Linked DNA regions of Drosophila melanogaster. The protein of the gene in region 1 interacts with the protein of each later gene in a pairwise test. Each region holds a gene or a part of one and is shown in the gene's direction. Other genes may lie near its edges.

The links. Proteins that work in one complex are often made in the same cells at the same time.
Region 2: the proteins of CG7407 (region 1) and RIC-3 interact in a two-hybrid assay, tested with the Drosophila melanogaster proteins (one large-scale study listed by BioGRID).
Region 3: the proteins of CG7407 (region 1) and CG34170 interact in a two-hybrid assay, tested with the Drosophila melanogaster proteins (one large-scale study listed by BioGRID).

What each region holds. Positions count from the first base shown.
Region 1 is NT_037436.4:21,821,821-21,825,125, forward strand, and holds CG7407 (uncharacterized protein), read left to right. Parts: upstream 1-1,640; 5' UTR 1,641-1,711; coding exon 1,712-1,843; intron 1,844-1,905; coding exon 1,906-2,280; 3' UTR 2,281-2,751; downstream 2,752-3,305. Other genes in the region: CycH (cyclin H), read left to right, coding at 186-499, 576-777, 837-1,065, 1,121-1,232, 1,291-1,408; eIF2A (eukaryotic translation initiation factor 2A), read left to right, coding at 3,218-3,257.
Region 2 is NT_033778.4:21,016,094-21,023,834, forward strand, and holds the start of RIC-3 (RIC3 acetylcholine receptor chaperone), read left to right. Parts: upstream 1-1,690; 5' UTR 1,691-1,859; intron 1,860-2,051; exon of another isoform or gene 2,052-2,175; intron 2,176-2,638; exon of another isoform or gene 2,639-2,665; intron 2,666-2,969; exon of another isoform or gene 2,970-2,989; intron 2,990-3,065; 5' UTR 3,066-3,293; coding exon 3,294-3,489; intron 3,490-3,646; coding exon 3,647-3,766; intron 3,767-3,993; coding exon 3,994-4,148; intron 4,149-4,899; coding exon 4,900-5,040; intron 5,041-5,097; coding exon 5,098-5,224; intron 5,225-5,407; coding exon of another isoform or gene 5,408-5,428; intron 5,429-5,792; coding exon 5,793-6,040; intron 6,041-6,240; coding exon of another isoform or gene 6,241-6,282; exon of another isoform or gene 6,283-6,369; intron 6,370-6,971; coding exon of another isoform or gene 6,972-7,072; intron 7,073-7,340; coding exon 7,341-7,493; intron 7,494-7,568; coding exon 7,569-7,661; intron 7,662-7,741. Other genes in the region: Sou (souji), read right to left, coding at 1-1,107.
Region 3 is NT_033779.5:17,310,917-17,313,726, reverse strand, and holds CG34170 (uncharacterized protein), read left to right. Parts: upstream 1-1,906; 5' UTR 1,907-1,967; coding exon 1,968-2,156; 3' UTR 2,157-2,259; downstream 2,260-2,810.

The sequences.
Region 1 (3,305 bases):
TTAGTTATACGTTCTCAATTTTTGCCAATCTTGCGCTTCTGATTTCCAATGAAATAAAAGTGACTATTGTACGAATCACCCTAATATTTTTTCACAACTGGTATTTTTCTCCGTCCCGCAATCGGTAACACCATGCAGGGTGTCTGAGTTTCGAATCGGCATAAATTCGCCGGCAGCTGAGCAAGATGTATCCTGTGAGCTCGCAAAAGAGGTCCTGGACATTCGCCAATGAGGGCCAGCTCATGGAGTTCCGCGTGGAGCAGAACAGCAAGTACATCGAGTCGCACGAGGAGGAGGCGCAGGGTCGCGACCTCAATGAGCACTTTCTCACGTCGGCGGAGGAGCGCCTGTTGCTGAAGCAGTACGAGATCTACCTGTTCGATTTCTGCCGCCGCTTCGAACCGACGATGCCCAAGTGCGTTGTGGGCACGGCCTTCCACTACTTCAAGCGGTTCTATCTGAACAACTCCCCCATGGACTATCACCCCAAGGAGATTCTGTAGGAACGCTCACCTGAGAGCAGCAAACACCCAGCTGAAAAGCAAAACATTCTAAAAATGTATAAACCTTTTCAGAGCCACATGCGTGTTCGTTGCCTGCAAAGTTGAGGAGTTCAACGTGTCCATCAACCAGTTCGTAAACAACATCAAGGGCGACAGGAACAAGGCCACCGACATAGTGTTGTCCAATGAATTACTGCTGATTGGACAGCTCAACTACTACCTCACCATACACAATCCGTTCAGACCCATCGAGGGTTTCCTGATAGATATAAAAGTGCGATATATATTCACATTTGCTCTCCAGATTGTTTCGTTCATATTGGTTTGTTTCAGACTCGCAGCAATATGCAGAATCCAGATCGTCTGCGGCCACATATTGATAGTTTCATTGATTCCACGTACTACTCGGATGCCTGTCTTCTGCATACGCCTTCGCAAATTGCATTGGCTGCCGTCCTCCACGCGGCCAGCAGAGAGCAAGAGAATCTCGATAGCTATGTGACGGATCTTCTGTTTGTCTCCGCCAGGGAGAAGCTACCCGGACTCATAGATGCCGTGCGAAGTAAGTTTGTGCTGTGAGATGGTGCGCCCAGCCCTACATGCCTTTTTCCCGACAGAAATTCGCATAATGGTGAAGCAATATCAGCAGCCCGATCGGGAGAAGGTCAAGGCCATCGAGAAAAAGTTGGACAAGTGCCGAAATCAAGCCAATAATCCTGATAGCGAACTGTAAGACGCCCTAATTTGTTCATGCATTCCGAATTTAATAACCCTTATACTTTAAAAGCTATAAGGAGCGCCTACGCCGATTGTACACCGATGAGGATGACATGCCCGCCGAAGATGCCTCATTCCACATTGCAGATGTGAGCTCGGACACATCTGCTATGAACATCAGCCAATAGACTTAAGAATATTTATTTAAATGATGTGATGATCTACTACTGCGTGGATTTCATCGATATTAAAGCATTTTGTAATTTACCATTTCTTGATTGTTAAAATGTATGCGTTTAGTGTTAGTTTACTAAACAAAGTTGGATTAGGTACTTCACTTTTCCAATATATAAAATATTAAAAAAAAAACCTTTTGAAAATCCGCTTAGCGCTGCTTGGCAATATTTCGTTCGCAGCTAACGGCCACACTGCGCCCCAAGAAAAACAAGAATAGTGAACTCAGTCACAACAAATAGCAAAAAGAGTTCGAAATGCAGGATTTTCTGCCTTCGCTGGATGTTCTCTTTCTTGGACTACCAGGCCACTACTCGGTAGCGCTGGTCACCCTTCTGCTGTGCGTTTTGGTCGCCTTCTACTTCGCCAACATCTTCAAGGACAAAGGCGTGGGTGTTTTTGCCGGAAGAAGTAGACGTCTCCTGGAATATTTCCTTACATTATCTTGCAGGAACTGGAGGACGAGGGCCTGGGGGCCGACGAGCCGCGCGATGAGGAGGATTCCGAGTCACGGACTCCGCAAGGGGAGGAAACCGACGATGACGAGGCCTACGAAGAGAACTCCACCGAAAGCGAAGTTGAGCTAATCGAGGAACAGCTGCCCGAGCACAGCTACAACCACCTGATGGGCCAGCTCAAGGCCAAGAGGCTCCAGCATAAGATGGAGAAGACCCTGACTCCCAGCCAAATCGAGGAGGAGCGCCGAATAGAGCGCGAGCAGCTGGCGGCCATCTTTGAGCTCCTGCGCAAACAGGAGGCGGAATTGAACCTCCAGGACCGAATAAGCGACCAGGATCTCAAGCAGCAGGTGCGGCTCTATCGCTGAAGTGGCGCCGAGCCTGGGCTCACCCTACCTGAATGTACAGACTTGTGTGATCTATTAGTTTAATGTTTAAAATTCCAAGATTTGGTGTTGCCTCATACGGTCCACTAAGTGCGGGCAAGTCTTTAGTCAGAGAGCTATCTCATCAGTCGATGATGTCGGAATATAATATCTTAGTTGTATGTAAATTATATGTATTCCACTTCGATCTATGTATTTTGTGAGTTCCTGGTGTTATTAATATCTGATTTAGATTTGTAGTAAATGGCTGTTCGGCTCTTAGTCTCTTAAATCAGCTTTCGAATTAAGAATATATGTATATATTTTAACGTGTTACAAGATAAAAACTCGCGATCAGAAAGTGTATAGATTTAAACACAATTAATCGCCAAATTCGTTGGTTAGATTTAAATTGTGTTCATATAACTTTGGATTTATTTGTTCAATAAAGAATGTTTAGCTGTGTTAAGATGTAATATATACTCTAAATATTTCCTACCGTTTCCTAGCCAAATATCCGAAAATAACCGCTCATATTTTATATGCCGCGATTGGATTTTTGAAAATAATTGTTCTAACATATAGATTCCATCAGCACACCTTCGATTGGAGCAGTCGAAATGCTTAGCGTTTCTGTTCCAAATTTTTTAGTACTAAAATGTTTTTAAATTCACGTGGAGCAGATATTTTGTTGGAGTTCTAAATACGTTCGGTTTGGTTTGGTTGATGTTTAAACGTGTCGTTGTGGCGCCAATGCCCATGCATGTTTACTATCGCTTATCGATACACCGCGTACACGGCAACCGTGTGTGACCAATTCAAGCACGAAATCGTTGACCAACACTGATTGTACATCAGACGACACGACAACAAAAACAACAGCAACAACACCACCGACGTGCTTGTTCCTGTGTGTGTGTGCGTGTGAGATTGGAAGACAATGGCTGCAGCTGCGGATCTGGTTGTTCCTACCCTTGCCAGTGAGTATAGCCCGGATGCAATCCCCGCCAGGTGGTCACTGAGGTGCC
Region 2 (7,741 bases), on another chromosome or scaffold:
GAATTCCGGCTGCAGATCGATCTCAATGGGCAACTCGTCGCAGCCGTTCCACATGCCAAGGACTTGGCGCGACTGCATCACCTGCTTGATATTGAGCAAGGCGGGCAGGGCAGTGCATCCGGCATTGACCACAACAGACAGGGCGGAGTTCTTGCTAATGCCTAGCAGTTGGCATGCGTCTTTGAGGAATATGAACGACAGTTCGGTCCACTTCTCCTGGCCCAAGAAGTGCTTGTAAGGCGAGTTCTCCAGTCCACTGGGCAGATATATAAAGCTGGCCATCAAGTTGGCTATTTCGTGCTCATAGCGCACAGCAAACTTCTTGAAGTTCAGTCGAGCGTAGGAGATGGCCTCGCGCTGCGAGTCCAATCCGTAGGAGACCAGCTGCATGAAACGCATGCGGTGCAGCCGGAACTCTATGAGCGAGTGGCGGTCACTCAGCTGCTGGGAGTACATCTTTGCCCACTTGAGGGCGTCAGTCAGATCCCGCTTTTGGATCTTCACCCAAATGCCGTAGATGTCGGCAAACTCGCGCTCCGAGTCGAACACATCCTGGGCATGCTCCGGCGACATCTTGCACTCGCGGATTAGCGTGCGAGCCACATCGTCCATGCCCTGGCGACAATAATGCTTGGCAATGGCCTTGTTCAGCAACATCAGGTTCTCCTCGTCCTGCAGCACGTCCACTCGCATGGTGGACGAGAAGTCGGCGCTAAAGTTGCGGTCAATGGCCTTGCCGATCTTCGAAATGGAGCCGTGCAGATCGCGGTGCTCCGTGGACAGTTTTTGCACGCGCTCGTGGCACCTGGCGAGAGCATTCCGGACGCTCTCCACTTGGCGCTCGGTTAGGCGTTGTGGTGCCGTCGGTTCCGTCTCCACCTGCATGCTCACCGCATCGCCCATGGGATCGTCCTGGGACACCTGGGTGCTCGAGTTCAGAGTGGTCACCAGCTGCTCCGCCCTGCTGAGAACCTCTACCAGCTCCGACATCTGTGTGGCTATATCTCCGATGTCCGCCTCTGCGTTCTCGTGAAGCTGCTCCAGTTTGCTGACCACTCGGGTCAGGTCCTTCTCCACCGACGAACAGGCCAACGACTCGCTGTCCATTGTTAGCTCCAGTTTCGTGGGGTGAAAGCCTAGAAACCAGTCACGCCAGGCGCGCGTTCACTTTCGATTTTACAACCTTTTGCTTTCGAGGATTGATAGCACTGTGATTCTTCAAAGTCACGACGATATTCGGTGGTCCAGCGGAAAATGCGTATTTATAAATTGTTAATTTTATAACACAAAGAAGACGAAAACATTGGAGCTGGGTGGACCACTCACGATGCTATCGATAAATCGAATAATTTTAATTTCGATAAAGGGCAACAGTGCTGAGCGAATTAATATTTGTATATTCCGCATTTTACGTATTACCGTTATATTGGATCCTTAGTTGATCCTTAGTTATATATAGTTAGTCTAGTTTAACATCATAATAATGCATAATAAAGTAACCATTTTACGAACCAAATATATATTTGACCTTTATATATTAATAATAATGTGATTCCATTTAAAACAATTACAAATATACAAAAATTTATTAAATCCCATAAGCCTTCTATCAGTGTAAAGGATCCGTTAACTTTAAACGATAGAAAAGTATCGATAGCACTCGCATGCATCGATTGACAGCCAATGCTGCCCATCTCCGTTCGGTCGACTGAAAAATCAATTATTATTGCTGCTGCTTTCTGGCAGAGAAACTTATAACGACAAACAAACAGTTTGAAATTAGCGTAATTAGATAAGAAAACGAACTTTGAAACCAAAGGTGTTAGTCTTTAAAAACGAAACTGATAATTATTTAAAAGGTACCTCAGAACACGAGAGCAATTCCAAGGACAAAATCTCCACACTTTGAATTCATAATTTTTAAAAATAAGTGATGAGTCTTAAGCCGAACGGCATTGAACCCAAATTACAAATGCTGTGCCTCCAAAAATAAAAGCGCAGAGAGCTCGAAAAACGTTTTCCAAATTAATGTAGACAGTGACAAGAAGAGGGAAATTTTTAAAATAAAAGTGGTGGAAATAAGAAGATGCTGTGCAAATAACAGACGTGCATAGTAAAAACAATTTTACTTTCGCCACTTTTCAGTCAGTGCGCTTGAAAGCGAAATGGAAAACGGTCGGAAAACTCATAGCACTTGGCAGTGTGTGTGTGCGTGTGTGATAACAAGAGCGAAGAAGCTGCGAAATGAAAAATATGAAAACACGAAATTTCGCACACAGTGCTGGTCAGCAAAACAGCAGCAATAGCTCAAAAAATTAAATTTAAAATTATATTATAAAATTTTTTTGCTGAAATATTTCAAATTAAGTTTGCCCAATTTCCCAAGCAGTTATATGTATTTTGATTTAAAATCTATTTCCGAAATGAATTAGAGAGCATTAATGTTATGTCGGCTGCTGTAGCGTAGCTCTCGGAAATTCCCGGTGCAGGCCCAAGCTGCAAATCACTTGTCTCATCAAAAATAAAGGAAAATAATGGCCGACGACGATTATGGGGAAAAGCGCGCCCGAATGGTGTGTCGGGTCTTCAGATCTGATCTGCCGAAAATTCGCTAATAGTTTCAAAAATTTGCCTGGCCAGTTCGGGAACAACATTCGAACTTTGCGTAAGCAGTCGCTCTGTCCAGTTTTCTGTTTTCATTTTTTTTCGAACCCTTGGTCGTTCAAAAACCGTTTTCCAAAAGCGATACGAAAGCATTTTCTTTTGGAGAAACGTTCAATATTATTTATGCGGTCGTTAATTGTGATTTGTGCGGTGGGAAAAGTGAAAATAATAAAGAATTATTAGACGGGCCGAAAAGAGCGAATTGCGCGAGCTAAAAATAAAAAAGATCGGGACCGCTATTTATGTAATAAACTTTTTTGTTTTCCCGCAACAATATTCAAACGTATACAGCATTTTGCGCTGCGATTCGTGACCGATCAGTGATGTGAATACAACTCCAACGAAAGCCGGAATCAGCGAACTGTAGCGTGTAACCGATTATGCATCTATGTATCTTTCAGATAATGCTTTAAACGTACAGCAAATCAACCATTAGCCAGCCAAAATGAGCCAATGCCAAAGTTAAACAGCAACTAGAAACACAGCGCATAGTCAACAGCTCGCAGGGAGCCATCAACGAACCAAATCGATCAGGAACACATAGCAGAGTTGCCTTAGGGACTAGCTTTAACCACGAACCCATAGCCAAACGAATCCAGATAGCCCACGGAATCCGCTACCAAGCCAAAATGCCCGCTACAGCCACATCCAAGCCGAGAGCTCCGCTCGTCGAGGAGGGCATGACGCCCAAGAAGACCGCCCTGATCATCGTAACCGTGATCGGATGCATTGCCATCCTGTGGCCAAAGGTCTTCCATCCCATGATGTTCGGAGGAGTGCCTCCAAGCCAGCCAAACTTCAAGGATCCACGAGCAGCACCAGGCGGTAAGTCATCAGATTCTATTCACCACATTAGGAGCTAGGGCTTATAAATGTTGTACTTTACTTAATTTCATTTATCATTTATTATTTATGAATTATCATCATGATTTTCTTTTGATTTCCGTATGTGGGTGTTGTTGTTGTCCGGTCGATGTTGTAGGATGTTGTGATGTCGTCCTGGACAGGGAGCAGTTTCTGAATGCCACGAAGAAGGACACTGTCGAGCCCTTCGGTCCGCATTTGTATCGCAAGCAAATCAATGTTTACACGGGCGAAATAAGTATGTGGCTCGATTATTTATAATTTGCTTATTGGTTTTACTAACGGTGTTTGGCTCTACTAACAAGATTGTATCTACATGAAACAATCGATTGAGATACATTTAGATTCCTAACCTTTACGGTATTAATGAGTTTATTAATGTTTGGGTTTCTAAAATGTAGTGTTTATGTCAATTAAAAATTTGATAGTTTAATTGTGTTACTAATGAATCCATTGTGGTCGCAGGTCTGCGCCAGGAGCGTCCCGCCCACCTGCATCCGGAATCCATATACCAGGCCATGAGGGAGCGGGGTCGCGCCATTCCCGCCACGCCCACCGTGCCGATTCTAGAACGAAAGACTTCGCCCAGTAATCCGCCTCCGCGGATTGTCGACGGACGGGTGAGTTGGGCTACTATACATTTAACCATACGGTGTGCATTATTCTCCGGACGATAAATCCATAATTATAATATATATAGTTATACTGGTCGGCGGGCTGTGGTCGATGTGATTATAATGACGGCGGGATGAGACATATCCGCGCTCGCGTTGGAAGTCATTTATAAATAGCCAAACGTTTATTTTATTCGGATTCGGGTTTTGTTTTTATGACACTGCACGCAAATTGAAGGCAAGAGACAGCGCTAAAGAAAACACAAAAAAAGAATTTGTAAATGATGAGTGGGAGATCGGCCGAATGTGCTGCTGCGTATTGAACTTGTGCCAAATTCAGTGCGCCAGTTCCATTTTGCTCTCATCGCTACTAGAATGCTAGAATGGCCGGGGAGCACAAATCAGCTGTCCTCGCCTCATGTCAAAATACAACGGGGCGGATACGTAATTTTAATGATTACATGGGTTGTCAATAAAACACAATCGATTCCCTTCTCCTACAAAGACATCAATTCAAAAGATTTCGAAGACAACTGTCTTGAGTAATCTTTATGTCAATATACATCGCGGCGGATACGTAATTTTTATGATTACATAGGACAATAGAATATACATATTCGATCAGTTCAAAAATATCTAAAGACAATTGACTTAAGAAACCACCGGGGCGTATACCTGATACATTTAATATGACCTTGATTGTTGGCGGCATTCTATTGTATTTCAGTAACTTTTGACATATGTATGTACTTTCTAGCCTGGACCCATTCCTGGAATGCGTCCACCCATGGGCGCCGGTGCACTGCATCAGCCACAACAGCGGGGCAGCAGCATGGGCTTCCTAATGCCACTCTACACCATTGGCATCGTAGTCTTCTTCGGCTACACCCTAATGAAGGTGACTCTCTTTGATCGTATATATGTAATTATAATACTATAAAACTCTTACATGCAGATTATGTTCAAGAAGCAAGTTCCCAATGATCCGTACGGAGCGGCGCCTCCAAATCCTGCCTTCCGGCAGGAGGTCTTCGGATCACAGAACCACAGCCAGGTGGAGGATTTGGGCGGCAGCAAACTGGGTGAGTGCCAGGCCAATTCGGATGCCATCTTCCGGATTATTACACTCGTAGTTGGACACACACACACACAATCGCTCTAGCCACCGCACTCACGATTCAATCCTAACCGAAAAAAAATCGCATTTTGTACTCTTCTGCTTCCAAAAAAACCCATGCACACCGAAAATCATGCCACGGTATCAGGCTGGCGAGAGCATCAGACAAGTAAGCCAGATATATATAGATGGTTGCATAGATGACCATAGAGTTTCGTTCGTATCTTGAGTTTCTAGACCTCGACAAAGGCCTTTTGAGTTTTGAAATATGTCCTCCTCATTTGGTATCGTAGTATCGTAGCGACTATGTGTTCTATTTCATTTACCTAGATGTACTCATTCTAGATGTTGTGTGCCTATATACTATTTATAAATATATATATATACTAACCCCGAATTGATCACGCTTCCATGGATATATACATTTATTTTGTTGCCACTCCTGCACCCGTGTAAATACTCCTTAGTTTCGTTAGTCCCTCGATTGATTCGATTTCCGGCCCTGATTACCAAACCGTACGACAATTTTATAGGAGCTGCCACCGCCACTGCCGCCGCAAAGAAGCCGGCCGCCAAGGACACCGAAAAGGAGCTGTACAACGCCAGTGTGTCGGCCACCGAGGTGGCGAGCAGTTTGTCCGCCTCTCTGAAGAGCCACCAGCAGCTGAAGGAGGCCGAGCAGCTGATGGAGATCGAGAAGCTGCGCCAGAAACTCGAGAGCACGGAGCGGGCGATGGCCCAGTTGGTGGCCGAAATGAACACCGATCAGTATGAGGCAAAGGTTAGCATCCAGCATCCAGTATCCAGTAGCTTCCTACCATCGTCATCGAATCGGAAAAAAGCAGATACAGATACAGATATAGCTATACAACGCGACTCAGATACATCTAGTAGCACATCATATATCGTAGTGATTTCAGTTGGACCATCTCGCTGTCATTTGAATTAATATTTGATCTCTTTTGTGTTCTCATTTTCAAGATGATTGCCCTCAAGTTTCTCAAGCGGCAGCCAAACTTCTAAGACAATAATAACCATCATTCAGTTCACATAGAATCAGTCAGTAAAACAGACCAAAATCAGACCAACAACAACTCAGATCACAACTAAGTACAACGAACAAAGTCAACTAGATTATTTCTGTTTTCAATTGGTTTCTAGTGAATAGCTGAATCCTCGGAATGGTTTCTTTTACCCCCCTGCCACATCCTCCCCCCCAAAAAAAGCCTTCAGTTCTAAAACTATGTCACTCTGTCCTTAATCTTCAAGTCTAACAAGTGCATGGAACGGAATTCTCCCGACTCTGTTTCTAATTTAACCTGCTTGTCTGCTGTCGGCATGCGATATATGCATATATATATATATATATAAACATATCTTTTCACATACTCGTATCTACTAACGAACCCAGTCTAAATGTGTTTGCATCTCACTGAGTACTCTCGATCTGAACTAAACTAAACTCTTATGATGGGGACATATTTTACGATTCAAAGCAGTCTTATTCGAAATCTATTCGAACACTATACGTAACTTTACATTGCCAATAAAGATAATCGCAAACATCATTTCATACTCAGAGCTACAAAGAAACAACTATATAAATATTCACTCTCTGTGTCGTTTCTACGTTTTTCATGTTTCTCGCAAAAACACAAAAAAAAAAATGAATGTAAATCCCAAATTGATACCCTGTACTTTCATGGGGCTAGTTGTTACGGCCATACAAGGTTTGATAGACGCGGCCGACGAGCAATTGAATGGCCAAGACAAGCAGAGGGCGACGAGCGACACTGAAACTGATTCGAATAAGGTTAGAGACCTTCAAAGGGTCCGGCACGGCAATCCTTGAACATATAATTTGTAACAAGAACTTAATCTTTTTGTTTATTAACCAAGATCCTTCGACTAATTGAGTTTTGTTGCGTTTCACCTAACCACAACGAATTGAAGTAATTAATGCGTTCGATTTCTGATTTCTTGCGTTTTGAGGCTGTATAGAATTGCTTAGCTCTCACATTCTACTGACTGTTTCGAGAGTGTCCTCTCTAACCGTATTATATCCTGTGTATCCTGTGCAGAAAAACGACAACGAAAAAACGAGGGAGCAACCACTAGACAAGCAGAACCTATCCAATGGACATGCAAGCAGCACCGACCAAAATCCGGAGCAGGAGACCGTGGCGAAGGGAGCCAGGAAACGGCGGGATCTAAGCGCTGAACAGGAACTGACGGTATGCCATTATATACCCTGTATAGCACCTTTGAGTACGTAGATCTTTGCCGTAAATAATCGAATATTGGTGCAGGTACTCGGCATGGAGTTAACAGCCAGTTGCGAGGGCGGCCACAAGTGGACTGGACGCCCTCCAACGCCTGTTTTCCGAGCGCCAAGCGAACATGTAAGTGCCACTGACGCACAGACCCCCCACCACTTTCAAGTTCTCAACTTAACTAGACTAGTTTCGACTAACTGCTACCC
Region 3 (2,810 bases), on another chromosome or scaffold:
TTTTTTGTATGTTTGCTTAGCTTAGGTTTTTACCTGGCAAAAACGCAGCAGGGGTTGGGCATCGGATTGTGGCAGCCTCGAAGTAACAATAATAAAAGCCGGGCGGAGGGAAACAAAATTGATGTTCCCTGCTGCAGTAGCTACATACATATATGGCAGGAAACTATATTGCCACATAGGCAATTTCATTGTGCGATATACATATATTCTGGCAGATATGTTAGGGACCCTGAGCAAATTGGTTTACCCGGCTTACCCTTTTCACACAACTTTAGTTGAACTCCCACTACACAACTGAAAATAAAAAGGTAGTTTAAGAAGCTAGTTTGCTTATAATATATGGGATATGTAAAGCATTGATAAAAAGTCAATTACAAAGGTTTTGTAAATGTAATTGTTGTAATTCGTAGCACACTTTTACGCATACAAAATTTCCAACAACTTGCCCCTTTTAGTTAAATATTTAATTAAATGTTGTAATGCAGTTTAACATATACATTTTCACTCAAACTTTGTACCACCATTTTGTTGCCTTCCAGGTAGAAGAGGTAAAAGGGGGAGTGGACCTTGAGAGAGTTGCACAATTTGCTAATTACCGCAATCAAAGTTTTCTTGTTGGGCAGCCAAAAACAGCTTCAAAAGCACAAAACTGATAAATTATAAATTAAAGGGAATCTCAGGAAAGTTGGCTCTTTCCCTATCTTTAGTTTACACAGCGAACTGTTGTGAGTATTCCCTCGTTTTTTTTTTTTTTTTATGCTTGGATTCGAGTGCATAATTTACGAGTTGAGCTCGCTGCCAATATTTCAATTACTCTACGGCATTTCGAGCAGTCTTCCTTCTTGCCTCCCTATCCCAGAAGCAATTTCAATTGAGCTTAGTGCTTGCGGAGTACTCTTTTCGGTAGGCGGTTTTGTCTCAGGGCGAAATTAGTGGCCAAAACTGCGGCAGATTACAGGCCAGGCCAAGAGCGAACTTCAAACAATTATTTGGCCAGCTGGGCTGGGAAGCTGGCTTTTAATTTGCTTAGCCCCTGCCCATGAATAATGCAATACGAGAAAGAAACGAGACCAAGAAGAATTTTTGTATAATTGCAGGGCGCACAAAATTTCGCTTAGAATCTCCTCGGGCCACATAATTGCTGAGTGGAAAGGGGCGGCAGAAAGTTAAATGTAAATTAAATATTTCCCTCGTCTTTTCTTTAGCAAAACGCAAGTTTTATCCGGCTCTTAAGTCAAATATTCACCTGCTACAGGAAGGCCAGTGAATTAACATGAAAATGAATGGACTTCAGGTGAAATCTTTATTACAAACAATTTGCGGTGTCCTGCGAATACAATGGTAACTAAAATAATTATTTTGAGAAGCTCTTTTATAATTTCCCGAAATATTACGTTAAATGTAAATTTTTGTTGTTTTTTATGCAAACAATTTAAGTATATACACCAGTTCGTTTTTATTTCCAGTGCCCATAATAAGCCCCGTTTCAACTGCTATTTGAAGGCACGATTGCATCGATTAATTATGGCTGTCATCGTGTAAATTGTGCTAAATTATTATTATCAATGTTGTTGGCCTGATGACAAACATTCAATTTCGCGAATGTGTCGCGCTCGACGGACACCCAGGATACAGATACACAGGACGACCCGTTGAAGCGGAGCGACCAAATTGCAATTGTGATATTGACAATAATGCAATCAAATAATCAATCAATTAATGTCTGCTTGAATTAATGCCGAATATTATGTGCTATCGTCAATGCCATCATTAGCACTAAATTCAATTACGTTGCAGGCATATCCTGTTGCCCTCCATGATGATTCATCATTGTTAGCGTACTTTTCCGATGAGGCACGGCGTACACGAATCCTAATCCCAGGAGCCTGTGGCCCACACATTACTCTCGGCCTTTAGAAAAACTTCAAAATTTGTGGCTTAAATTTGGGGAGCCGGAAAAATATTCCATGGCTGGATCACCTGGCGTTAAGGATAAGCTGAATCTGATTGTTGGCGGGGACATTTGCGAGGTATACCGGGATGGATTCAATTGCGGATCCTTTGGCTTCTGGTGCGGACTCGTCGGATTGGCCGTCTTCATAATTTTTCTCGCCTACTTTCATATAAATCGGGAGCGAATAGATCCGACGTCATAATCCCCCTAAATGTGGACAATTCTACATAAATGTGTCATAAATAAAAAGTAATTTAAAAAAAAGTACACATAAATCTTTTGATTTTGTTAAAAAAAACCCTTTTATTCCATTAAAGATTAAAGTTGGATCCAAAAAAAAAGTTGTGTAATGCATTCATTAGCGTGTTATATATTCTTTATGAGCTCTCCTTCACATACAAAGCTCTTTGAGTTGTCTCTCAAATGAAATCCCGTAATTCCGTCAATCCAAATTGATATTTTTATTCATCAAGCTCGATTTTCATGAAATTCATCCTTAAATCGTTGTTAAAAATGCATGTGCATATTTTTCTGCCGGCTCTTATTACCATGCACCTACATATTTATCACTGCTTGATGGACCCAAAACGGATGCTATGTAAATTTTTACTCGGTCGATACATTTGACAGAGCTCATATACACTCTCGTATATAAAATGCCTCAACTTCGTTTGATTTATGCATCATTCACGCGCAATTTATCGTAAAAATTACAAAAAAAGTTCAGCGCATAAAAAAGAAAATGGAAATTCACGTTTTTCGAATCTACAGACAAAGTGCACTGGCGTTAAAAGTCACGGGGGTCATTTATTGGGTAGTTTATAATGCAGTACAACATAACTGATTTCCAATGTTG